4 linked regions of the Astyanax mexicanus genome follow. The protein of the gene in region 4 interacts with the protein of the main gene of each other region in a pairwise test. Links are inferred from orthologs where the notes say so. Each region holds a gene or a part of one and is shown on either strand. Other genes may lie near its edges.

The links.
Region 1: the proteins of atf4a (region 4) and golga1 interact in binary tests that used the Homo sapiens proteins (3 or more experiments, as listed by UniProt). The two-hybrid records come from large-scale screens. The link is inferred for Astyanax mexicanus from reciprocal best matches to the Homo sapiens genes ATF4 and GOLGA1.
Region 2: the proteins of atf4a (region 4) and bfsp2 interact in binary tests that used the Homo sapiens proteins (3 or more experiments, as listed by UniProt). The link is inferred for Astyanax mexicanus from reciprocal best matches to the Homo sapiens genes ATF4 and BFSP2.
Region 3: the proteins of atf4a (region 4) and cebpg interact in binary tests that used the Homo sapiens proteins (3 or more experiments, as listed by UniProt). The link is inferred for Astyanax mexicanus from reciprocal best matches to the Homo sapiens genes ATF4 and CEBPG.

What each region holds. Positions count from the first base shown.
Region 1 is NC_064419.1:30,653,556-30,661,547, forward strand, and holds the start of golga1 (golgin subfamily A member 1), read right to left. Parts: upstream 3,025-7,992; 5' UTR 2,908-3,024; coding exon 2,874-2,907; intron 1,107-2,873; exon of another isoform or gene 907-1,106; coding exon 776-906; intron 1-775. UniProt on the Homo sapiens protein: Involved in vesicular trafficking at the Golgi apparatus level. Involved in endosome-to-Golgi trafficking. Mechanistically, captures transport vesicles arriving from endosomes via the protein TBC1D23.
Region 2 is NC_064415.1:47,381,283-47,388,723, forward strand, and holds the start of bfsp2 (phakinin), read right to left. Parts: upstream 3,006-7,441; 5' UTR 2,781-3,005; coding exon 2,337-2,780; intron 1-2,336.
Region 3 is NC_064430.1:12,451,210-12,458,801, reverse strand, and holds the start of cebpg (CCAAT/enhancer-binding protein gamma), read right to left. Parts: upstream 3,002-7,592; 5' UTR 2,851-3,001; intron 1-2,850. UniProt on the Homo sapiens protein: Transcription factor that binds to the promoter and the enhancer regions of target genes. Binds to the enhancer element PRE-I (positive regulatory element-I) of the IL-4 gene. Binds to the promoter and the enhancer of the immunoglobulin heavy chain.
Region 4 is NC_064412.1:31,403,372-31,410,306, reverse strand, and holds the start of atf4a (cyclic AMP-dependent transcription factor ATF-4), read right to left. Parts: upstream 3,002-6,935; 5' UTR 2,844-3,001; intron 1,709-2,843; 5' UTR 1,593-1,708; coding exon 1,292-1,592; intron 1,101-1,291; coding exon 205-1,100; 3' UTR 1-204. Other genes in the region: apolipoprotein L6-like, read right to left, coding at 6,210-6,935. UniProt on the Homo sapiens protein: Transcription factor that binds the cAMP response element (CRE) (consensus: 5'-GTGACGT[AC][AG]-3') and displays two biological functions, as regulator of metabolic and redox processes under normal cellular conditions, and as master transcription factor during integrated stress response (ISR).

The sequences.
Region 1 (7,992 bases), on a different chromosome or scaffold from region 4:
ACCTTCAACATAGAGAGCTCAAACACTAAGCCAAAATTAGCAACTCAATCAGCTTGTAACCAGAGAAAAAGCTATTTATGTCTTTCGTACATGAATTGTTAAAGGTAAAATTATCCAACTGCTTGTGATATTGATTTAGTGTCATATTGTCATACAGTGTCCAGCACTGTTTTACTGCATGGATTTATATGGGGGTTAACCACACATTATCTACATTTAAAGAATACAGTAAGAAAGATTTATTTTGTTGCCATCACACACAAATCAATGAGAATGAACCAAATGAACCAAACATTTAGCCAAAGATCAAAAACATGTTGGCTGCATTTGATTGCGTCATCAAAAACATAATTGTTGATTAGAAATGATTTTGTCTTTACACTTATTCAGCCAAAATGGAATCTGTATTTTTGCCAAATCATTTTAGTTGCTAAATATTTGGTGTATCCATACCGTTTGATATAATCTGCCAGTTTTATTTACATTATGTCAGAAAGTCCAAAACGACTTGTAATCTTTTTTAAATAGACTTAATTTTGAAGTTAAAAGGGTTTTTTTCTTTCTGCAGTACAGGCTATTTTGGAAGGTTTTTATGTGACAATATTGAAACTTTTTAAGTATTAGTTGTAAATTATTGAGTCTGTCTGAACTGATAACTCACAGTTCTAAAATTACTGTGCTTTTGCAGTTAAGGGACTAAAAGACATGGGAGAGGGAAGACTAAAAGACATGGGAGAGGGAAAGGAAGAAAGAGATAAAGAGGAGATTTACTCACAAAGTCATCCCCAGAGTCTGCTCCCACCGAGGTGATGGACTCTTTGCTCATGGATCGTGGCATGCGTCCAGTGCGAGGACCGGTAGCCGCCTCCTCTGCTATCTTCTTCTTTAGCTTCGCAAACATTACTGCTGTGTGCAAGTCCAAAAAAAAACAATCCTTCTGGGCTTCTCCCACAGATCAACGTTCTTTAAGGTGCTTCACATGCAGGATGCAGCTGTTTCATCGCTGTCTGTTGTCAGATTTTCTCTTCTGCAAGACACAATATATATAAACTTCATATGCACTGAATTTACAACTGTGCAATTGGATTTAGCATGTCCCATACAGCCTAGAAAACAGATTTTTGTCACATTAAACCAAGAAATCTAAATGTGAATGTAAGCTTTTACACTATATTGCCAAAAGTATTTGCTGACCTATTTAAATTACTGAACTCAAACCAATCACTTCCATGATCGCAGGTGTATAAAATCAAGCACCTAGGCAGGCAGACTACTTCTACAAACATTAGTGAAAAAATGGGTCACTCAGTGAACTCCAGCATAGTACTGTGTTAGGATGCAGCACCTAAGCAACAAGTCCGGTCATAAAAAAAATTCACAACTAAGTGTTCCACAGTGAAATTTAAGTAATATTACAACAAATGGGAAATGACTGAGAAAGCCAACATAAAATGACAGAGTGGAGTCAGCAGACACTGAGAAGCATAGTGTGTAGAGGTCACCAACTTTCTCCACCAGAGTCAATCACTACAGACCTCCAAAATCCATGTTGCCTTCCAATTTGCTTAAGAACAGTAGAGGATAGAGAGCCTAATAGAATTAGTTTCCATGGTCGCACTGCTCCATCAAAGCCTTGCATCAACAAATGCATTGCAGGTGAGCAAATAAATGTGGCAATATAGTGTGAATCAACATCACTTAATTTCGATTAGAGATGCAAGATGAAATTTTTAACTAATAATTACCTGAAAACATATAAAATAATAAAATTTAATTTGAAACAGAGCCACAAACCCAAAAAGGTATTAGTACAAAATAAAGGAAATAAAAACAATCTTTTTTCCTGAACTATCCTATCAAATTTATATTATCATTCCTAAATTCCTAAATTAAGAAACTAGGGGTGCATGATGATATCTGAATTATATTGTTATTGCCTGACATTACAAACTGATAATTGCTGATATTATAACTGTAGCAAGCAACGCTGGTAGTTATAAGTTATAAAGTTATACCAGGGTGTCTAGTCTCTCTGTAAGTTATATATCTGTACAATGACAAATCAGATATTTGCCCATATTTCCCACATCATTGCTTCCCTAAAAAAATTGAGAATTGATTTAATACTTGTTTTCCCAGTTTAACTAAAGCATTCCCTCTAAACTGAACTGAACGATTTGTTAAATTTATGCAAGTGTTTACATCTCTAAATATTACTTTTGACACCTTAGGGACTCTATAAGTGTCAAATTCTTTCTAACACTGTACATAACACTTCTAATATGCAGCAAAACTGACAATATTGCAGAAGAACACCTTTAATTTACAAATTGTTGATTACAGCTTATTCAGCAACTTGCCTTGCCAAATGTAAGGCTTAACAAAGGCCAACATAATGTTTACTTGACGTGACAGCAGGCAGGTCAGCTCAAATCTGACTCCAGTGATTTATAAATGAGACAGACTGAAGGCAGTTTGGCACTGAACTGATAAAAACAGCAGACAAACACAAACCTGACTGAGACTGACTGTGCTGTATTAACCCAACCTAGACATACTCAGAGAAACCAATAGCTCACAATGCTAGTTAGCTAAGTAGCTAACCTACCTGCTTATTGCTTTAACTATAGAACAGTCGTGATATACAGCTTAATTCATTTGTTAGGCGACAAAGAAGGCTTAAATAACTTTAAGAGAGATAAAATAAAAGGTTGTCAGGTTTATTAGAAGGATTATTAAGGTCGTCAGACCATCTCAGCTGCTCGGTTAAGCTAATGCTAGCTAGCTAAGCTAAAGCTAGGTTAGCGTCCTTATTGCTTTATTGGCTTCAGTTAGCATCTCCGTATCACACACACAGAGCCCAAACCCTTTACCTTTAACTCCATTCAACAGAAACACAACTAACATCCATAGTCCGTCAGTTAGAGGTTATTTTATCTCGTTCGGAGCCGCAGAGAAGCTCGAATTCTCATTTACTCGTCGCTGCTGTCTCGGCTGTATTTGCTAACCAACTTCACCACGTCACCACTTTCGGCGTGACGTGCCCAGGGCCACTGTCTGCTCTGATTGGTGAATATTAGAAAGAGGCGGGGCAAGAGAGTCGCCTCACTGCCTGCTGGGCACAGGACGCGCTGCTGTCGTACACTACTTAGTGCACACTTGTTATTTGTGCACTATTAGTCGTAGACTAGATTTCTAATTCCTAGATAAAAATGCCGTTTACTCCAAAAGTCAGCTTATTCCATGTGCAGTGGGTCACCATAGCTCATTCACCTTTATCCTCAGATCGTTTTGATAAGGTTTGTAATGTCTCGCAGAGTCAGCTCGTGCCCTTGTTCTTTAGTCATGCGCACTTGTTGCCTGCTGGCCACTGGTCTTGTTACAGTACACACTCTGCATAATTCATCCCGCTACACGCGTATTAAACATTTAAACGATACGGGACAGTTTAATGAGCATTGCATTGAGTGTGCCCTACATAGAAAGTCATTCAGTTCCACGTGTTTCACTGAGAAATTGAGAACTGAGAAAACGTTTCTGAGACGTTAGGCAGAAAACATTGACAACGGTGAAAACGCTCCCACTGCAATTATTTAAACAATATGATATATACTCCACAGAAAACATGGAGTCCCTCTATATACACATAATATGTTTGTAATGTATTGCTTTAATAAGTGTGATATAGATGACAGCTCATTTGAAATTGATCGTTTTTAAATGTATTTGATATATGTTTTTGTTAATATAACAGTTAACATTTTAACAGCCTCAAATTGTAATGCATTTCTAAATAGCTTTATGAGCTTTGCTATTTTGCCAACTACAATTCAAAATGCAGACTAAACAAACTCAATAAAACTCAATAATAAGACTAAACAACTATCCAATATTTAATGCCTACAACCTTTATTAATGAAAAGTAAACTTTACATCACCTACCAATTGGGGACAAGCCCTAACTAAGCCCTGTTATTAAAATTGCAAAAAAATACATACTGTTAACATAAGCCATTATCAAAATCAAATGATCTAAACAATCAGTTGTGTTTCATATATATGTAACACACATGTTTAACAGTATGTTATGAAACATTCCCTGATAGCAAAGAATAAAAGTTTACTGGTTGCATTATATGTATATTAAGGTTGATTATGGAACGATATCCTTAAATTAATCTTTATTTAACATTGCCTAATAGGTATCAGTTAATGTTAAAATTTTGACATTGATTTAGAAGGTTTTGAAAGGTTGGGCTAAGATCTTCTACACTCACCTTGCTTTTAGGTGAAAGGTGCTTCCTACCAATCACAGGGCATGCTATACAAATAGAAAATAAATATTGTATACATATTTAATGTAAGTAAAAAAACATAACTTTAAAAATAATGTTGAATCAATGTAAAATCGATGTGCAAAAAATAAATAAATTCTGTGGTCAGAGATCAACATTGTTTTAACGTATTAGCGATAGAAAAATGAACATTGAATTCCGATGTCCTTTTGCTATCTGGGTCACCACTATTACATAAAAAACATTGTACCTCCAAAATGTCAACTTACAGTACAAGACAAAATGTGTCTAATTTTCAGTGGAAGTCAATGTAATATTGGAGCATTTCTATTGGTCCTTTTACAACAAACAAGGGATATATATATTTTCCTACATATCTAAAGTATGCTATAATTAAAACATCTTATATGTTAATTTAAAATATTTATGTAAAATATAAATATACAAATATGTGTATTATATACATAATTATATATATTACATAATTATGTAATACTTACATATGTATACCAGATCTATGCACATATATTCAAAACAAGCTTGATGATATAAAGTGCATATTATTGTGTACACTGTATTATAGTATATACTGTATCAGATGTCTAAAAACACGAGCAGTAATATAGATCTGAGAAAGGCTTTAACATTCCCCACATGAACTTACATTTTCTATATAGTGTTCTGATCAGAGCAGTAATTAGTAACGAGAGCTCACAGTGCTCAAAATCAGTCCAGACAAATCTGGACAATCTGAGCTTACTCTCTATTATCAGATGCAAATCAGGTTTCTGCAGCCGTTCCTACAGTGAACACAATGAGTCAGAACAGCAGAGCTGAAAACACAGCGCACACCGAAATAGAAGATTATGATATTATACTGTATTTTGTAGAAAACAGATCAGGAAGCATCTCCTTTCAGGGCCATAGTTCTACCATAGATGTTGCATTTAGTGCAGCAAATCTGGTTTATAATTGTGAAATATCCTAAAACAACTTAAATTCTGTATTAATGCTGTTCTTATAATCATTTGGGACCATTAGATGGCAAGCCACGACTGTAAAACCAACCACCACCTTAGTGACATTTTCCTTTAGGCCACAAGTTAATATGATTGATTTGTAATTGCATAAATCAATCATAACATTAAACCACTGACAGGTAAAGTGAATAGCATTGATAAACTGGTTCCATATCAGCAGATCCAGACTATGGACTATGGATCTGCTGATGTCAGATATCAGCTACCAGGACCAGATACCACAGGACATCTTTCTAATTGGCTAACTTAGCTCTACATGACCAGCAAGCCCAAGCTGATGATCAGCATAACCAAGCCTTAGCAGATTCTAATCTAACATAAGAATGATTAATCAGTTATCATACCAGCAATATAGTGTGTTTTTACATGAATGATCAGCTTTTTAACCACCTTGACCATCAAAGATTTGGTTGCCACCAAAAAAAAAAGATCACACACTCTAATATTTTGTTGGACCGCCTTTAGCTTTTGTTGTGGCACACATTCATCATGGCATTGTTTTGATAAGCTTCTGCAATGTCACAAGATTAATTTCAATCCAGTGTTGCATTAATTTCTTGCATTAATGATGGTGGAGTCTGACCACTGCACAAAGCCTTCTCCAGCACATCCCAAAGATTCTCAATATGGTTAAGGTCTGGACTCTGTGATGAACAATCCAAGTGTAAAAAAATGATGATCTCATGCTCCCTGAACTCTGCACTATTTCACAATTCCAGCCCCATGAATCCTGACATTGTCATCTTGGAATATGCCCGTGCCATTAGGGAAGAAAAAATCCATTTATGGAGTGATCTGGTCTATATTCAGTATATTCAGGTAGTCATCTGTCCTCATTCCTTCAGCACATACTGTTGCTGAACCTACACCTGATCAAATTCAGCAACACCACATCATTTGTTTAGTTAAATCCAGGTGGAGACTTTTTTTTTTTTACCAGGCAGTGGAATAGACAGTGATATAAGCAAAAAAAAAACACTGGCCTAAGCGCTGCACTCTAAAGTAGATACTATGTCAACCACCAGATGGCGCCTGAAAACTGTACACTGAATACACAATGATTTAACCCAACAGCTGAGGTTATTGAGGCCTCAGGGTAAAAACCACAACCACCAACACAACCACTTAAAATAACATATTCAAACTCATATGTCCTTCTCATAAATCATCAACTTTAAACCACAGCCATAAAACCCCACAGCTGGGTTAGTTTAGAGCACAGAAATATGATTACCATGCATTTGTACATTTGAAGCTGCTGGAAGCTGGAAGAGAATGGGACAGCTTGCAGTAGGATATGTTCCTATAAAACCATTCCTTTGATATAACAATAATGGAAGGAACACTTTATTTAACTAAACAGAAATGTCCTAAAATAGAAACCTGCAAAATGTTTTACTCAGCTAGTGATTATACCGTTTGGCAAATAAGTGACATAAGCATATAAAAAGCATCAAATAGTCAATAAGTAAGTTTATCATTGCATTAGCCTGAAATGGAAATTTGCCTTTGGTTACAAAACAGCTCAGTTGGAGTTTGTCCAGTAAACACCATTCATAAGACACATAACACACGATGACATTTAAAATATTAAATTTTATTTGTTGTTAAAACTCAGTGTATATTAAAATAATTATTTGTATGCTATCATTTTGTAAGTAAGAATTAGGGTTGTAAATTTGTTTGACATTTTATTATGGCTATTAACTTGAGTTAATGGGAATAAAACGGAAATATTTGAAGATAAAGTGAGAAACTTACATATAATTGGTAAAAAATATACTGATACAAAATCTTGAGTTATTTTAATTGTTTTTTATATAAATGATGACTGTTTGATGAAAGAATAAAAAAAATGATTACCACTTATAAAGCATTCATAAAAAGCAGTTCTTTCTGCAACTTACTATGTCATAGTCTTTATTTCTATTGTGTTGCCTATATGTCTGCTGTTCACATACAAACATTGCATTGACAATATTGTATATTTTGTTCCTTTGAATTATCCAATATTTGATGTTAATTCCAATAAATTCCCATAAATCTACAGTTCTGAACAATTTTATGGAAAGTTTACAATTTGGAATAGTTCCAAACTTACAGAGCTAAAGATTTCATGGAAAGTTACTAGTAAATTACAGAAAAATGTATCTGAATTTTTCCACACCTTTGCAACCCTAGTAAGAACAGTGAATCCAACATATGCTATAAGTCATTCCATTGTATAGTCTGTTGTATATAGGTTGCATATAGGTTGTATAGTCTGTAAATTAGTTGTTTCTCATGTTTTTTTTTCCGTTTGTTTCTATAATATTTTGACTGGACACCATGAAAAATAGATGACTTTTTGTGTATAATAATAGATTTTTAAAGCTCTATTTCGAGTAAAAAATGGCGTTAGCCATAGCATGCTCTCTTTTTTGTCTTAAATAACCGATGATCTGTATAGCTAATGGGTATCTTAATAAAACCTTAACCCTAAATTAAATGAGACAAAAACATGCTTTTGATTTAGTCATACTTTAAAGATGTGAGCGTAAAATAATATTTAGATATTATTTAGTTAACCTAGCTAACACAGATATTTAACTATATTTAGGTTTGATACTTTAAACGCCTTTGAATACTAATATATCGCAAAAAAACTAAGAACAATT
Region 2 (7,441 bases), on a different chromosome or scaffold from region 4:
GTAATGATGACAACATTTCAGTAATTTTTACTACAGTTACTACAGTTAAATTTACTGAATGTATTTAACTAAATGGGAAGACACACAATTACGCAGAAACTCCAAGTATTACACTGAATTATACATTACATTTTTGAGTAATTCTCAGAATTGATGTTTTCATGTAGAAATTACTTTAATTGTCCTTGTTGTATTTACAAAGTCAAAAAATCATTTTTTACAGTGCAGCGGTGCCCAAAAAAGAACGAAACTTAAGGAAAGGAAGTCCAGCACAGAAAACTTGACAAAGTTCACGGGCTCTCCGGGGCCCGGCGTCAGTGCTGTGGAACGAGTTGATCTCCGGGGCTGTTTACCCGGCGTCAGCGCTGTGGAACGAGCCGATCTCCAGGGCTGTTTGCCCGGCGTCAGCGCTGTGGTGGAACGTGGCGATGCCCAGAGGACATTTTCAGTAAAAAAATGATTAAAGGTTATTTGCCTAGTGATCTTTTGTGTCGTAGTTTCATTCTTGACGCAATCAAGTTGGATATTCTACACAGGTGATTCATTTAGAATCATAACTTATTTTGCTTTAATTTAATCTCCTGCTATTACCAAACACAATTCTGGTTGTGTTCACAGTGTGACAAAAAGCAAATCAATAATGTTGAGTATATGTGTGTATAAATGCTCTCAACTCACCCCCAAATTTGATATACAGTAACTGCTCAATCAAATGAATACACTCTAAAAAACAGAGGTACGATATGAGTACTTTTTTGTACTCAAAGGTACACTCTTCATAATTGTACCCTCAATGGTACCATATTGGTCTTTACAGGGTCAGATTTGTTCCCTCTGAAGAACAAAGTAATTTCTAACAGCAATAAGTACAAATTTGTACCATTTAACCAGACAAAAGGTACATTCAGTATTCTGTATCACTGTACTAATTAACAATAAATATTTTAATTGCACATTTTTCATTTGAAAGCCAGAAAAAATTGGATCATCAAATTTTTGAGCCATATTTAGTTGATGATAATGTTTATAATCTTTATAATCTTTACTGGCACAAAAACCATGGGTACAAAAAAGGACTTTCACTGAAAGGTACTTTTTTGTACCTCAATATAAGGTACAGCCCCAGCGACAAGCTTTGTACTCTTTTAAGTACAAATCCGTACTTACTTTTCTTAGTGTGTAGGGTAAACATGCGGTGAAGAACATTGGTATTTAAATTGTGTGAAACTGACACCAATAAATCCATAATTCTTGCTATGTACTTGTTTCTCAGTAGCATCGCTGTAAAGTGTGGAGAATAGTTTTGCATATATTGATTATCACTGAATGCAGTTTTGAGATATCACCGTTATCATTAATTTACCACAGCTGAAAGGTGCTGAAAAATTTTTTTAAATGGCTCTTGAAAGTGCTTGAATTTTACCTTGTAAAAGGTGTATGAACACTGAATATTGCATTTTGCTATAAAAAGAATCCATTTGATCAGCGCCCCCGGAAAAAAAACATTGCTTAGACCCCACAACTTCCAAATCCGCCCCAGGGACTTTGAGGTGATAAAGGTAATGTAAGTGAAGTTAGGATAACACAGGGGCTTTGAGGTGATGGAGGTAACATTAGTAACTTTGGGAAAACACAGGGTCTTTGAGGTGATGGAGTTAACGTTAGGATAACACAGGGACTTTGAGGTGATGAAGGTAACATTAGTAACTTTAGGATAACACAGGGGCTTTGAGGTGATAAAGGTAATGTTTGTAACGTTAGGATAACACAGCGGCTTAGAGGTGATAAAGATAATGTTAGCGAAGTTAGGATACAGCGGCTTAGAGGTGATAAAGGTAATGTTAGTGAAGTTAGGATAGCACAGGGACTTTGAGGTGATAAAGGTAATGTTAGTAACGTTAGGATAACACAGCGGCTCAGAGGTGATGGAGGTAACGTTAACTCTATTATAATTTTTTCAAACAGCCAAAAAGACCCTGTTTTAACTATTTATGTATGTATTAAAATGTATTGATTTTTAATTATCGTTCATTATAGTTTAAACAACCTCACGGGCCAAATGTTTCACGCCTGCCTATTGCCGACCCCTGAGGGAGTAGAAGTAAAACTTATATCAAAATTATTACTCCAGATAGAGTACCAACATTTTTACTTAAGTAAGGTAAGGAAGTATTTGTTCTTCAGTATCCGACACCTCTGTCGACAGTGCCTTGATCCACTGGACCACTCCGAGCCCCCCAATGTCTTTTAAAGCGCCTCGACTTTGACCTACATTCTCTCAGAAACAGGACTAAGCCCAGTTTCCTCCTGATGCCCAGCCCTGCCCACCTGCCCACCTGTCTGTAGACGTCCTCCCACTCGTGTCGCAGGGCTCCCCATGTCTCTGCGCTGGAGGCCTTGCGCTCAAGGTAGCTGCGGATCTGCTCCTCCAGCTGCTGGTTGAGCTCCTCCAGGGCCCGGACCTTGTCGCGGTACTCCAGCAGGCAGCAGTTGAGGCTGTCGAATCCCAGCTGCTGGTGGGCCCGGTCTCGGGGCTGGGGCAGCACAGGGGCACTGGTGGTGCTCCGCAGGCCCTGCAGAAAGACGCTGCTGATTCCCAGCGCCCTGCGGGACACGCGTGCACCCAGGTTAGTGGGCGTTTGGGTCACGGTGGGGGGTGCGGTGCCCACGAATACACCCCGAGGCGCCGCGGTGCCACCCGCGCTCACCCGCCCGACACCGCCCGGCCGCTCCGCGCTGGTCTGGCCCAGGATGGAGGATCGGCGTCTTGGCAGAGGCATGCCTGTCCCGGTTCTGGTGATCTGACGGGGTACTGCTACTCGCCCACAGACATCGCTGCACTGCAGCACTCTGACTCTCTCACTGCCTCCCAGCGAAACGGCACCGGCTGCCAGCGCGTGCCTCTTTATGGAGGCCTAGGCTTCTGGAAAGTGGCGGCTTTGTTCCACAGCTGTTGTTCCTCACCATTGTGGCTGGAAGCTGCTCATGCTGCTGCTGCTCTTTGTGCATTGAAGCTGCATTGGGCGCTTTTCGGCTGCCTCAGCAGTGTGGGCTTCTCAGGAAAGCTCCACAGAACCCCAAACCCGGTCCGCCACGCGCTCAGAACACGCCTGACCACAGGCACAAAGAGAATATGAGCCTGAAAACTGAAAATCATCACTTTTTCCAAAGGATATGAGGATTTAGAGGGCGGATTGTGTAACACTTTGTGTGATTTACACTCATACTCTATACTTAGAAAAATGGAAAGAACAAAAAAGATGCAGAGCTTTCAGACCTCAAATAATGCAAAGAAAACAAGTTCATATTCAGTTAAAACATTCAGTTTTAAGAGTTTAGAAATCGATATTTGGTGCAATAACCCTGGTTTATAATCACAGTTTTCATGTATCTTGGCATGTTCTCCTCCACCAGTCTTACACACTGCTTTTGGTTAACTTTATGCCACTCCTGGTGCAAACATTTAATAAAAATCGAAGAAACTCATAATAATGTTCTCATTTTTTTTCAGAGCTCTATAAGTAATAACATGATACACGTATTACAATATACATAAATAAATTATATTTTATTATTTAATATAAGACATTCACTCCCTGGCCCAAAAAAGGTCACATGTCCTAATATTTGGTTAGACCACCTTTAGCTTTGATTGAGGAACGCATTCACTGTGGCATTGTTTCACTAAGCATCTGGAATTTTACAATATTTATTTTAATCAATTAAAATTAAATCAAATTTATTTGTATAGCGCTTTTTACAACTGGAGTTGGCACAAAGCAGCTTTACAGAAACGTGACCACAGGACAAAGAATCAGGCAAAACAAACATATAAAATACAGAACCCCCAGTGAGCGCGGAGGCAAGGAAAAACTCTCAGAGCTGCAGGAGGAGGAAGAAACCTTGAGAGGACCAAGACTCACATTTAAGGGGGGAGCATCCTACCACTGGTCAAATGGCTTTTAAATTATTTTCAAAAAGTCTTTACATCCACATAGGTTTTATATATTCAGGAGTATAATAGCGCCACTAATGGCTAGGATGTAATCTGTAGTGGAGAGTAAGATGGATGATGAGCAGCTGATCTGTGGTGTATGATGGAGAAGAGCTGACTTCAGAAACTTCCATCAGTCTGGCGGGACATGAGAGCCTGAGACAGGTGGGCAGTCAGTAACTCGGAGGAAGGCAGAGAGATGGAATTAGTTTTAACTGGATTTATGTAAAACAGAGAATATAAAACATTATCAGAGTGTGGCTAATGACCAGTGTTGGGCACATTACTTTGAAAAAAGTAATTAGTTATAGTTACTCGTTACTTCTCCAAAAAAGTAAGTACTAACGGAGTTACTCCACTATAAAAGTAATTAGTTACCAGTAAAAGTAACTATAGCGTTACTTTTTATTATTCGCCTGTCAAAAAAAAGGAAATCAATTATGCATTTACTATTATTATTAGAAAAATAACAAACGAAAATAAACCCAAAATGTTGACAAAAATATAATCTAACGAATTCCAAAAAAATAAAACGAAATTCTCCACACAATCAAAGAAAATTACTAAAACTTGTAATACTGAAAAAAACGGAAAAAACGGAAAAACGCGTCTGGGGATGAAATTAAACAAACCAAGCCACACGCAAAGGAAATATGTATATATATAAAAAAACAAGATAATGGACAAAAAACAACAAACTAATGACCGTTAAAATGGTATTAATATAACAGCTTCACCAAAAGAGAATAGAGCTTAGATCCTGCCAAAAAAAATCCGACCCGACCCAGCCCTAGCCCGTGCACATTCTGCCCGAGCCCGACTCAATCCGAACCATGAACTGTCATTATGAGCCCGACCCGATCCGCCCCATAAACTGTCTGTTTTCGGGCTGATTGAATGAGCAAAATATGATCAGAATTATGTTAATTAACACTGTAACATAAAAGCATAGAACGATTATTTAATTTAAATGATTTTTAAGAACAGCTACAGTCAAACGCTGAGGCGTTCACGTGCGCCCAGAGCTACGTGATTACATTTTTCATTTTTATTATAGTTTAATTTGATTTTGTTTTTATTTTTTCTGTTCAGTAAGTTTTTAGGGTGGGCTTGCTAGTTTTTATTAGTTTTTACACATCTCATCAGAGAGATCAATCTAAGAAACGTGAGAGAGAGAGAGAGAGAGAGAGAGAGAGAGATTTGCTGTTCTGGTATAAGCTACAGGTAAATGTTCTCACACACTGTATCTCCTGTTTCTCTTTCATCTGCCTGGCGCTCATATTGTAATCCCATTCATAGTTCTGCAGTTTCTGAGTGTTTTTTGTCGTATTTTGCGGCTAGCGCGAGCGCTTTACACAAGAACTAACAGACCACGAGGTGCCGCTCGCTCGGCACAACACCTCCCGCTGTACAACTCCGTTGTACAACAGCGCTTATAAATAAATTAAACACGAAAATGAGGGTATTCTATCAGTAATTTCAGTTCGTTTTAGTTAGTTTTATAAACACAAAATACCGTTCGAGATAGTTATGTTTTTTCCTTTTAATTATCGTTTTTATTAGATTCAGTTAACACAAATGTTTTTTTCACTTTCAGTTTTCGCTATTTCGTTCGCTTTAGTGAACAATAATAATTGGTTACTTAGCAACATTGTGATTATCACACCAGAGGTTTATATAAAATAAAAATAGGAGCCCGATTTCGGGTCGGTCCTCAGATCGGGTTCGGGCAGAGAATCTAAGCTCTAAAAGAGAAAGCAGCAGCACCACAAAAACCGGAGCAGCTAAAAAAGCTTAACGTCCTTAATTCGGAACTTGGGCTGTCCACGCACGCAAATCGTCACAATTGTGCCTCACTTCACCACGCCAAACCACAGGCACAGCGGCCAGAAACTCAAGTTCACCGGAAAGAGGAGGGGTTAACCAGGGCAAAGCGAAGCTAAAAAAAAAAAGTTCATAGAGCAGCTAAAGTAACGTGCAGTAACGGGGTGTCGGAAATGGTAACGGCGTTATAGTTACAGCCATAGTAATTAGTTAGATTACTCGTTAAAGTACACTGTAAAAAGTGAAGCATGGAGCTGTTCATTCAAGCTAATAAATATGATTGAACACATAGTACAATTATTGACTTTATTGTGAAACTCAACCTTTTTGAATTTTGATGTGTCAATTTTGATTCAGACTAAATTAATTACAATTCTGAAGGAAATAAACCAAATGTTTTGGTTCCACTGAAATCATACTCGAAGAAAAGAGATAAGGATGTAATATTTTTAATTTGAATCGAACATGAATTGCGCATGCGCACTGTGGAGCACGGGAGAAGTTGTAGAGAAGTGCTTCAGAGCACTGAGGGAGAGAGGGAGAAAGTGCCTGAACGCGCTCGCGAGAGAGAGAATGAGAGAGGGAGAAAGTGCCTGAACGCGCTCGCGAGATAGCAACGCATGCTTATGGTATTGTGGCGTCGGGACTGGAGGGGGGGCGGAAGGAATTATGGGAGCTCACCCTGTTGGGGGAAGTGGGTGTTTTTCTGCGTGTTTATGTTACTGTTTATCCCAGAGTTTCATGTCATGTTTTATTATCACTGTTCTAGTATTATTCATGTAGTTATCAGTTATGTGGTTGTTTTGTGTAAGTGCCTCACCCTTTGTGTGTTTTCTGTGTGTGGGAGTGGGGTTAGCTGCGTTGGAGCTGTAGTTAGTTTCACTTTCAAAAGTGGAATCCCATGTAAATCCAGCTCTTAGTGTCCTCCTCAGAGCAAAATAAAAAGAGCAAGAGAGCACTGAAACGAATCTCGCTGGTAATCCGTCCTCTTCCACGCCACAGTAACTTCTGGAACTTCTGAATATGCTGCCATGTTTTTTTTTTAAGTTCGGTTCAATTTAAATGTATTAGTTTGGTTCCGAAACTGAAATGTAAAGAATTTAACTTGGATCAAGGTGAATAATTAATATTGGGTCGAGTGAAGTAATAGGGTTTATGTCAAAATAAAATAATCAGGTTGTAACAATTGACTTTATTTAGATTGAGTGAAGTCAAATAGTTTAGATGCAACAAATGGACATCAATTTTTTTAATTTGAGCAGGGCTACACTTTTTACAGTGTAAGGGCGTTAGTAACGCCGTTAGTTTTAACGCCGTTACTCCCAACACTGCTAATGACTCTGGCAGATCTAAATAAAACAGCCTAACTAAAGGGAGAGCCAGAAGGTAACATAGACACGGAGGCTCCCTGAAACTCTGGCATCCACCAGCACCAGCATCTCAGTTTACCAGAATTCCCTCTGTCCATGAACCCCTGGATCTGCAGCCTTGTCTAAAGGGAGAAACATTAATTACCAAAAGCTAAACTAAACAAGTAAGTTTTCAGTCTAGACTTAAAGATTGAGATTGTGTCTGAGTCCCGAACATATTCGGGGAGATTCAGGGCGTGTTAAGAGGTTAAAG
Region 3 (7,592 bases), on a different chromosome or scaffold from region 4:
CACCAACAAAAAATAGGTTCTAGAGATCAGAAAGGTTTGTTCCTGGCTGGAAACACTAAAACTGGTGCAATCCTGGGCTGGTTCTCTAAAAAGGTACCATGGTTAGTCTGAATAAAGTCTGAATAAAACCAGTTAAAGGGCTAACAGTGAATAGTGCAGTGGTAAGAAAGCGGTAAGGATTGTTAGAGGAGGTGTCTGGCTTGAATTGTCTACGCAAACAGACAAGTGACTCTGGCAGAAATCACAACCACATTTAATAAAGGAGGCCACACATGTACATCTTGCAAAGGAGATCAGTTTTCTGACGCTTTTACTGGATATAAAAAATGAGAGACAGCACACATTTTTTGGCATGTGCATTAAATTCATAATATAAGAATATTAGTCTATTTAAGGGGACTCATAGTTTTGAGGTTTACAATACATAATGGATAGACTGTTTTTTTTTTTCATTAAGATTCAAATTACAACAGAAAAAACAGTGATGCTACTCTCCTTCTGTTGTTCATTTTTAGGTGGTATATACAACTCTAAAAAAATTAAGAGACCACTTAATTTTCTGAATCAGTTTCTCTGATTTTGCTATTTATAGATATATATTTGAGTGAAATGAACATTGTTGTTTTATTCAAGGACAACACATTTATTTGAAGAAAATGCAAAATCGTTAAAATAACTAAAAAGATGCAGAGCTTTCAGACCTCAAATATTGCAAAGAAAACCAGTTCATATTCAGAAAGTTCAGAAATTAATATTTGGTTGAATAACCCAGTTTTCATGCATCTTGGCATGTTCTCCTCCACTAGTCTTTCACACTGCTTTTGGATAACCTTATGCCACTCCCAGAGCAAAAATTCAAGCAGTTTAGCTTGGTTTGATGGCTTTTATCTGTGACCATTTATCTTCCTCATGATTTTATTCCAGAGGTTTTCAATTTGGTAAAATCAAAGAAACTCATCAAGTGGTGTCTTTTTTCCCCCCAGAGCTGTAGATATGCCATGTACCATTATATTTACGATAACTAGGTAGGTAGATAAATAAATAAGGTATGGGAAGGTGTAATAACCAACACTTTCCCATAGATGATTAAAACATTTTAAGACAAATTATGTAAAAGTATTTTTAGTCTTTTTTTTTTTTAAGAATCTGCTGGGAAAAAACAGTATAAAAACTGATGCTCCTCCTCAGTGCACAGCAACTGCAACTCCTTAAAGCGCTTAAAACCCCCATCTTTTTAAAAACACCACACATCCACCTGCGCCCACCAATCACTGCCATGTTGCCAGGCAACGCGCATATGTTGCTAGGTATCTCTTGTCTCGCGCTCGAGACGTTGCTCGCGGTTGCATCATCGCTCGCGCTCCCTCCCGCGCGGCGCTCAGGGAAACTCCGCTCGCGCGCGCACACACACTCACACTCACTCACAGCGCGTGGCTTAAAATTAGTAACAAACAGCAGCGAAGCGGCGAACTTTCTGCAGGCGGGTCAAAAACAATATTACAGAGTGTGAGATTCGGTTCTGCGGGGTTTAAAGGACTGCGGGGTTTAAAGGAGTCTGCCCGCTGTGCTGATAAAGCACCGATAAAGCGCGTTATCAGGCTGAGCTGAGCTGATGTTAGTCATACACTATTAGAGCTCAGCCACAGCAAGCTAACAGCTACGTAACTTCACAGGAATTACGGGGAATACCGCTAGCTAGCTGCGTTAGCTAGCCACTTTGTTAGCCTACTATTAGCTATGAAGCATTAGAGAGAGAGACTGTGTTCTTAACATACTTAGCAGAACGTTAGTTAGCTTTAGCTAGGCTATAAGTAAATAATACATTGTGACTAATGACTAATTTGACGTGTTACCTAACCTAGCTAACTACAGTTTACATCAGTGTCTAACAGTTATATCTGTCTGCTTACAAGTTAAGGGGTGTTCTGTCTAGTTCTGCAACCCATCGATATGCACTTCCTTCAGCACTGCGCATGCGCTGACCCTTTGCCCTTACATTTTTATAATTATTAAAAATATATAATTCTGTTTTACTCGGGTGTATTAACCTACACAACCTTAGTTTATTGTTATTTTTCTTGGATTTTTAGAATGTTATAAACGTATAACAGGCAGTTCATATAAAAACAAAAAGGAAAAAAAACTCTTGTAACCTCTATTATTTAGTATTATTATTTTTATTATTATGAACTTTACTTTATTAACTCAGACACACTAATTTAGGCTATCCAAATGTTCTACACAAACGTATTATGATAGTTATTTTGTATTTAACTTATTTAACGTCATTTATTTTACATTTCAATAGAACCTACACTAGAGTAGCAGAGTTTGACATTGGAGCAAAACTCGGCAGAACACAGGAATGAACTTGGTTAGCTTAGTTAGCGTTAGCTAGCTATGTTACATTCCAGTTAGCCGCTAGCAGACTAGCCACATTCCTAACAATAAGTACGGCTAGCTAGCTACATACAGTAGCTTAGTTACGTCAAAAGACACAGCCCTGCTAGCTGCTAACTAGCTTTAGTTTAGCCAGCTAATAACTAACTCGTGTTTTTTAGCTAGCTAGTTAGTGTCCTACAACAGTCCCCAATCTTAGAGTAAGTGTCATTAAAGAGGTTAAGTATAGGATATAATATTAGCTAAGCTAACGTTGTAACTACAGAAGTTGTGTTGCTGTAAAGCAGCAGTAATGAAACCTGTTCTGCGGTCCGGTTAGCAACAAGCAGCTAGCTACACAAGTTAGCCAGCTAGCTAACCGAGTATAGGACTACAAGGAATCTCTGTACTTAAAATTCCACTCCGGTTTTCTCCTCTTTCTCCCCTCAGACACACTTCTACCCGTCTTACCTGATCGAGGTTCAGATCCTGGGTTCAGTCATCCACTAAAACCGTGAGTAAATTCGTAGCCGCTCTAGTTGACGGGACAGAGACATCAGCGGAGCTGTTATTGTTTGGTACACTGAGCCGTGCCTGGCAGGATTGCGAAATCGTTTTTACCATGTAGGGAAGTCTGCCCGCTCAGCCAATCAGCGCTCAGCGCCGGGCAGGATGACGAAATGCAGCCTTTGACCGACAGCCCGCTGAACCAATCAGACGGTGAGACACAGTTCAGGGCGTGTTTATGTAACAAGAGAGTCATGAGATCATAGAGAGTGAATTATGCTCAGCTGGAGCGGTGCTGTTAGTGAACTGTGTAGAGTAAAGGTTCTCAACCTTTTCCACCTCACGACCCACCTGAGCATAACAAGAAAGCCCACAAGACAAAAGAAAAGAAAAGAAAAGGACAACTTATACGGCCATGACTCAATTACAGCTCTGGAAAAAAATGAAGAGACCACTTCAGTTTCTGAATCAGTTTCTCTGATTTTGCTATTTATAGGTATATGTTTGAATAAAATGAACGTTGTTTTTTTATTTTACAAACTACGGACAAAAAAAAATCTTTTAGAGCATTTATTTGCAGAAAATGAGAACTGGCTGAAATAACAAAAATGATGCAGAGCTTTTAGACCTAAAATAATGCAAAGAAAACAAGTTCATATTCATAAAGTTTTAAGAGTTCAGAAATCAATATTTGGTGGAATAACCCTGTTTTTTAATCACAGTTTTCATGCATCTTGGCATGTTCTCCTCCACCAGTCTTACACACTGCTTTTGGATAACTTTAGTCCACTCCGGGTGAAGAAATTCAAGCAGTTCAGCTTGGTTTGATGGCTTGTGATAATCCAGCTTCCTCTTGATTATATTCCAGAGGTTTTCAAATTGGTAAAATCAAAGAAACTTATCATTTTTAAGTGGTCTCTTATTTTTTTTCCAGCACTGTATTTTGTTCTGACACCTTAATAAGTCTTTCCCATGCATTAGGATCTTGTTCACATGCCTTAATAAGCAATGGCCACAAATTAATATATATTTTTAAGGCTCCATAGAGGCTCCATAAAAAATGTATATATAAAAATATTTTTAAGCTGTTTCCCTGTTGTCTGCGATGGTGACAGATGGTGACTTATTATGTTTATTTTGCCAAATTGCCTTTGGCATTACTCCAGCAATATGTTTCTATTTTTTGTTTTTCTATTATGTTTATGTAATTTTTATAGATTTTTTCTAGTGATGTTAATTGACTAAAAACTATTCTGTGATTAATTGTAAATAATCACATTTGTTCTTAATCCAAAAGAGGCTATCGTGATGTATGTGTCACAGGCCCTTCAAAAGCTGTGTAAAGTTCCTTACAGCACTATATAATATTTTTATTTCTGCTCCTGAAGTATCACTGACCTGTAGGGGTGTAGGAAAATACCAATATTGCATTGTAGTCCAGCATTAGGGTTCAGAACCACTCTACAGGACTTTAGTATTTTAAGGAGTTGCTTAATGGATTGGCAACCAGAATATATGAGAATAGACAGACATCACTAGCACTTAAATCAGTGGTTAAATTTGCAACAAATAGCATACTTTAGCAAAATTCCAGTAGACAGGCTGTTATGCTGGTAAGCTATGTTGGATCAAAATGTACCAGCACAACACAGACTAAAAAAAAGCAGGTTTCTAGAAGAAAACTCTTTATTAAAGCACCTTAATGGGTTCCTCTACTGCTTTAAACTGAAGAACCTCCTCAAAGAAGTTCTACTTTTAACAGAGTACCAGCTCTGAAACCTAAGGTTGGCCCACCAATAAGGGTGTGATATATTTTTGGAAAAGGCTGCTCACTAACCAACTGGCTTGCTTGCTACTATATTCATCCATATAATTCATTTTAAATTCTAATGGTGGGCTTATCCTGTTAAAACAAAAAAAAAAGAAAATATTTTTGTCTGTCTACTGAAACGTTGCCATGCTAGACAGACATAATGAGCTTTGTTAATGCTGTAAATTAAAAAATATAAATCTAAAACGCATTGTATTTTATCAAGAATTATTTACCTTTGTTATTGTTTACAGTGGTGACATGAGGTTAGACTAGTGTGTAGTTTGGTAAAATTAGCAAAAAATAATCAGGGATGGTGGGGGCATGTCTCTATAACTCTTGGAAATGCTTTACTTTGTCCCCAATACATTCTGAATTTCCCTATTGCCATTAGAAACCCATTCGGATGGAAACACACATTCTCTAGTGTAATCAGATATCCAGCCAGTATGCATTACTGGGCCAACTCTGACTTAGAGTCACCAATTTCAGCACAGCTGTGGGGCTGGATGGGTAATTATTATAGGAAATATTATTAATGAGAGCATATTTATGCAAATGTGTATCAGTAACTTGCATGGGTTGGTTCAACACAAATAACATTATTTTAAAATTTAATGCTTTAGTTAATAGTACAGCCCCATCCGGCATCCCTTTTTTAAGTTATACTACACTGTTATAACATAGAGAATAGATCAGTTCCTTTTATTTTTGAATGATATTAGCAGTTTTGGTCTTGTTATTTGGCTCTGCCCCATCATTTAGCACAATACTATACAGTGCAAGCATCTGTTAGCAGATATTAGAGAATTGGGAGACCAGCAGACAGTGTGACCTGAGGATCATTGGTTCCAATATTGGATCATAGTGCTTGCCATCAGCAGACGGAGTCTGAGAGAGCACAACTGACCTTGCTCTCTCTGTGTGGGTAGATGTCGCCCTTTCTCCCAGATCGTTCCTAATGTGTTGTTGGTCAGCACAGGCATCTGTTAGCTGATGTGTCGAAGCTCGGGTGCTGCACATTCCTCTGAGTGCAGTTGAGTGCATCCCCAGTGATGCTGCATCAGAGGTATTTTGATAAGAGGCAGGTTCTGACCCATAACACACGTATCAGAGGAGACATATGTAAGTCTTTACCCTTTTAGTGTTGAGGGGCATTTGTAGTGATAGAGGGAGTTCAAATAAATGGGGACTGGGTAATTGCCCTTACAATTTGGGGAGAAAATTAGGTCAAATTGCAAATATCCAAATGTGTTTAGCTGTCTAATGATGTCACATTATCAGCAGTTTAGAAAGCTGTAGTTGGACTACCCTGAACCATTGGGGTTTTGTAAGTGTAGTTAAGCCTGGACAGATTTGGTCATTCACTGTGCAGTGAATTACAGTTGTATGCCAAGGTTAAGGCACCCCTGGCCAAGATATCTATTACAGTAAATTGCTACATCTGTACACTGGGCATGTTTTCATGCATCAGGCTTGTTTAAGTGTTCTTTTAAAGACTTCTGAATCTGATGTTTGTGGCAAGGAAAGTTTTTCTTCCATCTTCCATATATTTGTAGGTGTCACTGCACAGTAGAACGGCGCACCACTACTTTAGAGTATGCTAAATATTTCAGAAATTTTAAGGTCTTAAAAACGAGTTGAAATAGGCTTTCCAGAAATCCAATAAGCAGTTCTCAACTTGACTACTTTAATTATTTTTATGAATTAGGAAATACTTTCCTTAAAACACTTTGCTTTGATTGTCTTGTAGCTGTTGATAGTTGAAGATATTTAGTCCTAGATAATTAAGTTATGAGACCTTAGTAAGAGTTCTCTAAGTGCTATTGGGTTGTACAATTATATTATATTATATTCATATAATAATACACTAACCCCTACCGTGATTTTGCTATTCTGTGTGTGTATTCAGTGCATGGAATCTAATATAACCATCACAATCATCTCGCATGTCACCAAATCAGAAAAGAAATCTGATCTAGGATCACAAATAAAAAGCTATTTTGACATTACCAGGATGAAGTGATTCAAATCAGGTTTTGTGTCAAATCAAACTGACACAGATTTGATTTTTTAGGGCGGTGTGAATATGACAATCAGATTTGACTACTTTTCACGTGTGTTCAGATACATATTAAATTTGTGAGGAAACAACATAAATGTGAACGCCCAGATCAGATTTAATGCATCTTTTTTTTAAAGCCCCTGCTTTAATCATAATTAGCCAGCACCAGTGTTGTGCTGAACTTTTTGTGCATGCATGTCAGTAAGCAGTATGGGCACAACAGATTATGCTTATGATTCCTGTTGTTTCTGTTTATGAATAACTATTATAATTAAACTTTCCTTCACAACAGCCACAGAGTCAGATTCTGTCAGGTAGTCAGATTCTGTCAGGGTCATTAATGAATGTGAATCATCAAGATCACCATTTTAATATGAGCGAAAAATCTGAATTGATTAATGGGTCCTGTAATGTGTGCAAAGTAAATAAATCAGATACAATACAGATAGAATAGATATGCAATATTGGACCACATATAAAAGTTACTTATTCAAATCTTATTTGAAAAAGTCTGGATGGCTTTGAAATGTCCACTCAACCCTAATACACATTAAGGCAAAAAAAATCTGATTAGAAACACTTTCTGGTAACGTGAATATGAGGCTGTATCCGTGTTTTAGAAAGGGCAAAAACAGAACTTGTTTAGTAGAATGTCTAATATTTTAACGTAATTGTTAGGAACTCAGCTCCTATTGACTGTGACCACAACAGTTTAATATCCAATGTATGTGAATATTAAGAATGTAAAACGTAGTCATCAGAGATGTATAGTAATGAAGTAGTACTTAAGTTTTACACTGATAAATGTTTATGTGCTGCATTGTTACTTAT
Region 4 (6,935 bases):
TGTTCAGGTTTCTGTGTGCGTCTATGTGCCCATTTTAGTTTTGTATGGCTCACATTACACAAAATAGTTGATTCTGTTAAAACTACATACAGTGAATATTGAGGGTGTGTGAATTGTGAGGGGGTGAGAAACTAAAGATACTTTCAGTACACTTTATACTTTTTGATGGAGCTGATCTTTAATTAAAGTATCTTGGCCTACATCTCAGGGAGAGTCAGCCTTGGTCTTGTTCTTGCGGTTCTTGGCAGAACGGACCTCTTCAATAAGATCCTTTAGGTACTGGATCTCCCTACTTATCGAGTCAGCCTTTTCCGACAGCTCACGATTCCTCTTCTCCAACTCAGTACACTCTTCATTCAGGGACTCCTGCTCTACCCGCTTCTTCTGCCGGTAGCGGGTCGCTGCTGTCTTATTCTGCTCCATCTTCTTCAGCTTCTTGTCCACAGACTTCCCAGTGACTGTCTTCACTTTACCAACAACTGTGACACCTGCCTCTGGGTCTGGCTTGGAGTATGGCTTGGTTCTGGAAGTGCCAACAGGCTTGGGGGATGGTGCAGGACTCGGGTTGTGAGGGGGAGAACCAGAGACTGATTCAATGCCACTGTCAGACTGGTCTGCACAGGAACTGGGCATGACACTCACCTCTTCTTTGGGCGCAAGAACAACCACAATGTGAGCAGGTGAGAGGGACAGCACAATGCTGGGGGTCTGTTGGTCACTACTGGTTTTGGAAACCACCTTCTCCAGCTCTGAGATGTCCACCTCACTGCCCAGTTCCAGGGTGAAGGCAGGAGACAATGGCTCTGATTTTATCTCAATGGGAATGGGCTCCGGACGGACCTCAGGGTCTGCCGGTTGCTCTGGAAGTGGGAGGTCAAGGGAAAGAGGAGGCAGGCCAAGCTCTTCTGGGTCAGAGGGTGAAGATGAGGGAAATGGTAGGGGAGCCAGGTCCAGATCCATTTGGGACTCCAAGGATGCCAGCAGCTCTTCTGGTGAGCTGGGGGGCTCATCTAAATCACAGGACCCGATGAGCGAATCCAGGTCGAAGTCACTTAGGTCGATCTTCTCTGTCATCCAGTCCATGCCAGAAAACGCATCCCCTGCAACAGAAAAGCTTTTGGGTTATTCTCTGCTAGTGACAACATATGGCAATTCTGGCATTCTGATTTTTCCATTTCTCACTTATATAATTTATATATGCACTTGTTTAATTTGTGACCACTGTTTTCACACTTCACACGAATGGGTCATAAATGTAGGTGTCATGCTTAAGTTGCTCAACCAGTCTTACCTTCTTTCTGATCTGCTCTTACATGAGCATCAATCTGCTCACCAGCAGACAGCCAGGGGAGCGGCAGCAGGTCAGACCCAACTTTACACCCTAGAGGAGCAGGGGCCGAAAAGGGGGAGAACGGGGAGGAGGTGTAAGATTCAGAGTATGAAGAGAAGGAGAGGGGCGAAGACGACCCCTCAGAAAGAGCTCTCTCTTCATCTTCGTCCAGAAGGGGCCCGAAGGGGTCAGCCATCAGAGTCGAGGGCCCCAAGAGCAGGGCCCCCACGTCCTCCATGCACATCTGTGAGGTCAGAGACATGGTGGCTGGTCAGGGGTCGTGACAGAGTCAACGAGAACAGGAGTTCTGATGATGAGTCGAGCAAAGTTGGTATGCTGTCGACGGCAGCAAAGCTGAGGGTGGTTGCCTCAAAGGACCTAAAAAAAAAAGGCAAAAACAGAAAACAAAAAAAGAAAAAGGTTACCATGTAAACATTTAATCTTCTTGTAAAACCTCTATCTCAGACATGACTTAAACAAAAAACTACAACAGGTTTATACAAGCTACCTCATTATGTGGTTCCCACTGTAATTATGAAGCTCTCTTGTGAACACGTAAGAAAATGTCCCAATACAGGTCAAACACGTTTAGTCAGTCACCACAACACCGCCCAAGGCACTGTAATTAAACTATATATAAAAACCAGTCAATCATGTATTAGCACTACTTTTTGTTGAAACTGGTCCAAAACTGAATTCATGCTGACCCGTTTTTATGGAATGAGTATAGAATTAGGAAAAGAAGCCAAATATTACTCAAATACTTCCCTACCACCTACACAAAAACACCACCTCCCCACAAAGTAAATTCCAAACATTTAACAGTTTCATGTTTCAACAGGAAAACTCTGCTCCAAGACAATTTAAATCAGTCTTTCTTCTTTCCCGTCAACCACAAGGCCTGCCAAAAACGCTCCGCCCACACGTCACAAGTTTCCTTAATATGGTCACGGTGCACCAAGCCCCGCCTTATGCCCCTCCCTCATGGCGGCTGTGCCCTTGGCGATCGCGCCATTTTCACAACACAGCCAGCACGAGGGAGGGAAGCTGGTGCGCCATTTTGAATAGTGCCACGTTGTCTGGTCAAAGGCGGACAGCTGTGTTTTTGTTTTTATTGGTCCATTTTAAACACGACCTCCCTCACAAACAACATAATACCACAGTAATAACCCAGTACATTTTATAAGCACAATTACAGTTCGTCAGCTAAAAAAATTAACAATAAATATTGAGGGCGGGAACTGTATCAAATGGCGGGGGCGGTAAATAAGGCCAAGTAAAGTTCAGACTCATTGCAGGTTAATAAATGTACAACCCTGACATTAATTAAATCTCGATTGTAGGTATTTTTGTATGTATAACTTTATTAGGTAGCTGACACATTTAACATTATACCTCCCACCAACAAAGACAACTCCTCCCCTGCCGGTAACGACGACATAAGCTAGCCGGCCTACTTCAGTCATCCGGTCCTCTCACCTCAAATCACTAAAAAATACAAAATTATACTTACGCCATTTTGCCTAATAGAATCAGTGCAATTCGCCGTTGCACTGCAGGATCCGCCGCTGCGAGTTTTGCCGCTGCAAGCCGCTACACTGCCATTTTGAGCAGGGAGCTCTCAGCTCAACGCGTTGTATTACAGAAGGGAAAGAGAACGAAAACGTCGGTAGGGCGTCACATGACCTTATATACTCACATACAACACCCACATATGACCTTCCGCCTCCGAAACATTCTGGTATCACTCCGCGGGCTGCATCTCTTTCTGATTGGTGGAGCTGATCGCCAGGTTGTGTGACGCGTGGGGAAAAACATAGTTCCTAAACAGAGCTGTGGGGAGGAATATGCGACGACATAATAAATACACCACAACTTTTTCATTTCCGACACTTTACTATTAAATTATATTATAGCGTCAACACAACTGATATTACCATAAGGTTTTCTAACAAAAAGTGACTTTTGTTGACCATGTTAATTAAAACACTTTTACTTGAACTGAGTATTTATTTGAGATAATACAACATAATAGACGTAAATTACATTAAAGACCTGCTCCTGTAAAAACAAATAATATAGTTTTTATAAGAATATCTCTGAATTTACCCCTTTCCCAAAATCCTAAACTACACTTTAAACACCACACAGTAACAGATGACGTAAATGCAGCGTCTGTATATATCACGAGACTACGAACTAACTATTCTCAACACATCAATAAATCAGTACTGAAACAGTGATATTACTAATATCTTACACATGATTTTATATAGCTACGGTTTATTAAATTAACTCTTTACATTAAAATGAGAAAATGGAAACACATTTCCTCCCAAAGAGTCCTATTTATTTTGTTAATGGCCTCGTGGCCTCAGTGGCTCACAGACAACAATAGGAAATGGTACAAGGCTGCCCTCTAGGCCTTTTTCCCTGGCATAACAATAAAGTAATTCTGACTATTGTATTAAGCTTTATTGTCATGTAATCATTATACACATATAAACTACACTGTAAACCCACAATTAATTTGAACTCAAATAAATTAAGTCTAAAATTGGTTATTTTCAAACATTAGGCCTACTCAACTATTTTGAGTTAGGTGAACATTTGTGGACACAAAAGTTTGGGCACAGCTCTTCTCATTCAATGCGTTTTCTTTTTTTCTTTAGATTTTTTACATTGTAATTTTAATATTGAAGCTGTCCAGGACCACATACAAATTATACTGTAAAAAAAGGTGAAAAACAAACCAACACATGTTTTATTCTTTAGAGTCCTATAAGTAGCCACATTTAGCTTTGAGGACAGCTCTGCACACTCTTTGCATTTTCATGATTTAGAGCCTTCAGTGTCTTGAAGGAGTTTCTGAAGGTGCTAAACAATAGTTGCTGCTTTTCCTTCACGCTCTGCTCCAGCTCATCCCAAATCACCCATCTCAGTTGGGTTTAGGTCAGGGTCAGGTCAGGTCCTTATGAGTCCCCTAATTTTTTATGCTTTTAATATGAATAATTTAGACTGGTTCTGTGTATTCAAACATAGTTAAATCAACTTTTGTTGTAGGGTGTAAGGGTAAGGTGCTAATGCTGTGTGCTAGAGTGTTCCTTCTATTGGTTTTTATGTCGTCTTTCAAATGCAGATTTTTCTTAGATCAATTAAAAACAATGAAATACAAATCTATTTTGTTCACAAAACGTAAGCTAGTGTAACCTAAACTTACTTATTAAAACCTATTTAATATAGAATATTAGTTTAACTTGAAAATTGAGTTACTCTTACTTATACTTTTATCAATCAGTTTCACCAATTTTAGATAAAATAGCCTTATTGGGTTTTACACTATACTATACTATACTATGCACACTATAGATACGGTTGACCCCATAATATGATGTTTTGGGCAAGGTGAGTTCTATAATAGGCCAACAAAATCAGGTTCAGAAATGTTGGTCAATCAAGAAAAATCACTTCACATTGATGTTGACCTCTTCCCTGCATTCTTGCAAAAAGTGGCATAACCAACTGGATAATTATCAGAATACTGTCTTTTGGCATCTCATAACTTTCTAAAAATGGCTTAATATTTTACCATAAAAAGGTGAACAGCTTAAGCCTCATCTCAACTAAATATGGAGACAGTGCAAGAAATATTAAGTGAAATAATATAATTAATTGCTAAATATGCAATTGCAATAAGTACTTAACATAAAATGTACCAAATTTTCTTTAAAGTTAAGGATAAGATTCCTCTTTATGTGTATTAATGTGTTGCTTCAGACTAAATGTTAAAAAATATATATTTTGTACAGTGTTTGATTATGGTGTTCTGACACTTTACTTAATGTAAGTGTAATAAGAAATAACATTGTTTCAAGTTGTAATTAATGATAAATACTGGAAAAACAAAAAAGGCATTGTAGTCAGCTTCTTTATTGTTACCTGGACAGGATGTTTTCTCCCTCTATTCCAAAAAAAGGAGCTGAACAAAGATCTTCTGAAAAAGGAGGAATTTTCCTGTGTGCCCAGAAAAACTGGAGAGTTAATTCAACACTTGCCTTTCTGCTGTGTGGGTCTAATTCTCACAACACATTAAATATCAAATAAAAGACTACAGTTTCCTCATTTAAATGTATTTATTATATTGCAAAATATCTAATACAATCAATAGTGTTTTGATAAACGTTTTTTTATTTGATTACATAAAAGGTTTAGAAAGCTTCGCTATTTTGATTTTCCAAAAAAGTGTTCCAGTTAACATTAAAAGCTTAATGTCAAAGTATCCAGATATGCAAATATTGCATCCAACTTGAAAGATTTCCATTGAAAAGCAGTGACAATAGAATGGGACACTCTGAAGCATTCACACACAATCCTTATATCACCATGCAATAGCTGGCAAGAGCGGTTCAAGGAAACTCCTCTATTATTCTACTATATAATGATGGAACTGTGATCTCTGGAGAAGTGGAGCTTACCTTTAGGTTTATCCATCAACACAACCTGACCGTAGGATAAGGCTTTCATGACTGATTGCAACCCAAGATCTACCTATGGCTGAGAGTGAACATAATTGATGTAAATGTCTTCAGGTAGACTAGAGGGTTGTCCTCCAAGTGTGTTCAACTTTCAAATGACATTCAATGATACTTCCATTGTGTGAAGGGTAGGTGTGATGAGGTGAAACGACTAAATTGAAAAGAAAATTGTAAGTAGTGTAAGATTTACAGTAAAGCCTCACCAGAAAAGGAATGGGAAACACTCCCATAATGTCACTGATTTTTTGAGAACTAATGCTGGCTAAACATTACCTTAGATTTTAGGGTATTCATCCACAGATAACCCACATTTCGTGCTTTTCTGTTCATAACTAACCTGTTTTTTACAAGTCTGCAGATTTTAGATCATTTTTAACTTTCATTAGCTCATCAAGGCTGGCTTTCATCTTCTCAGCCACCTCACGGATCTGCTTGGCAAACTTGGTTTCTGACCCTTTCTTCAGCTTCTGCTTGTCGTTTGTGGTGAAGTGGATGTCCATGCCCAGTGCAAAGCCCTGAATCACACCTGAGGCCTTGCTGAAAGCACAGATGGCTAAAGTATTTCTTCCAGCCACACCAGCCACTTTTGCCACCTTCACCACCTCTTGGTCCACCCCGTGCAACTCAGACAGGTTGTGACTGTTTAGGTACTTGATCCCTGACCTGATGAACATCACACAGTTCTCAATATCCTCTATCTCAGTGGTGAAGTCTTGAAGGATTTTCTCCACCTTCTTTCTGTCATTGTCGCTGTTGACCTTGTTGGTGATTGCGGCGGAGGCTCCTGTGACCCCTCCAGCAGCAGCCACACCAACCCCAACTGCGGTCACTGCTAATGAAGCACCCAAAGTCAGTGGGGCAAGTAATATGCCCCCTACAGCAGCTGCCACTCCAGCTGCCCCTGCTGCCCCACCAGTAATGCCAGCAATCCTTGCACCTTTATACACCTTGTTCAAGTTATCAGCTACTCCTGACAGCTCATCTGTGAGACCACGAAGAGTATCTTCACGCTCAGACAGGAGAAAATCATACAGGCGGACTGCCTTTTTTACGTGGCGAGCCTTCTTTGT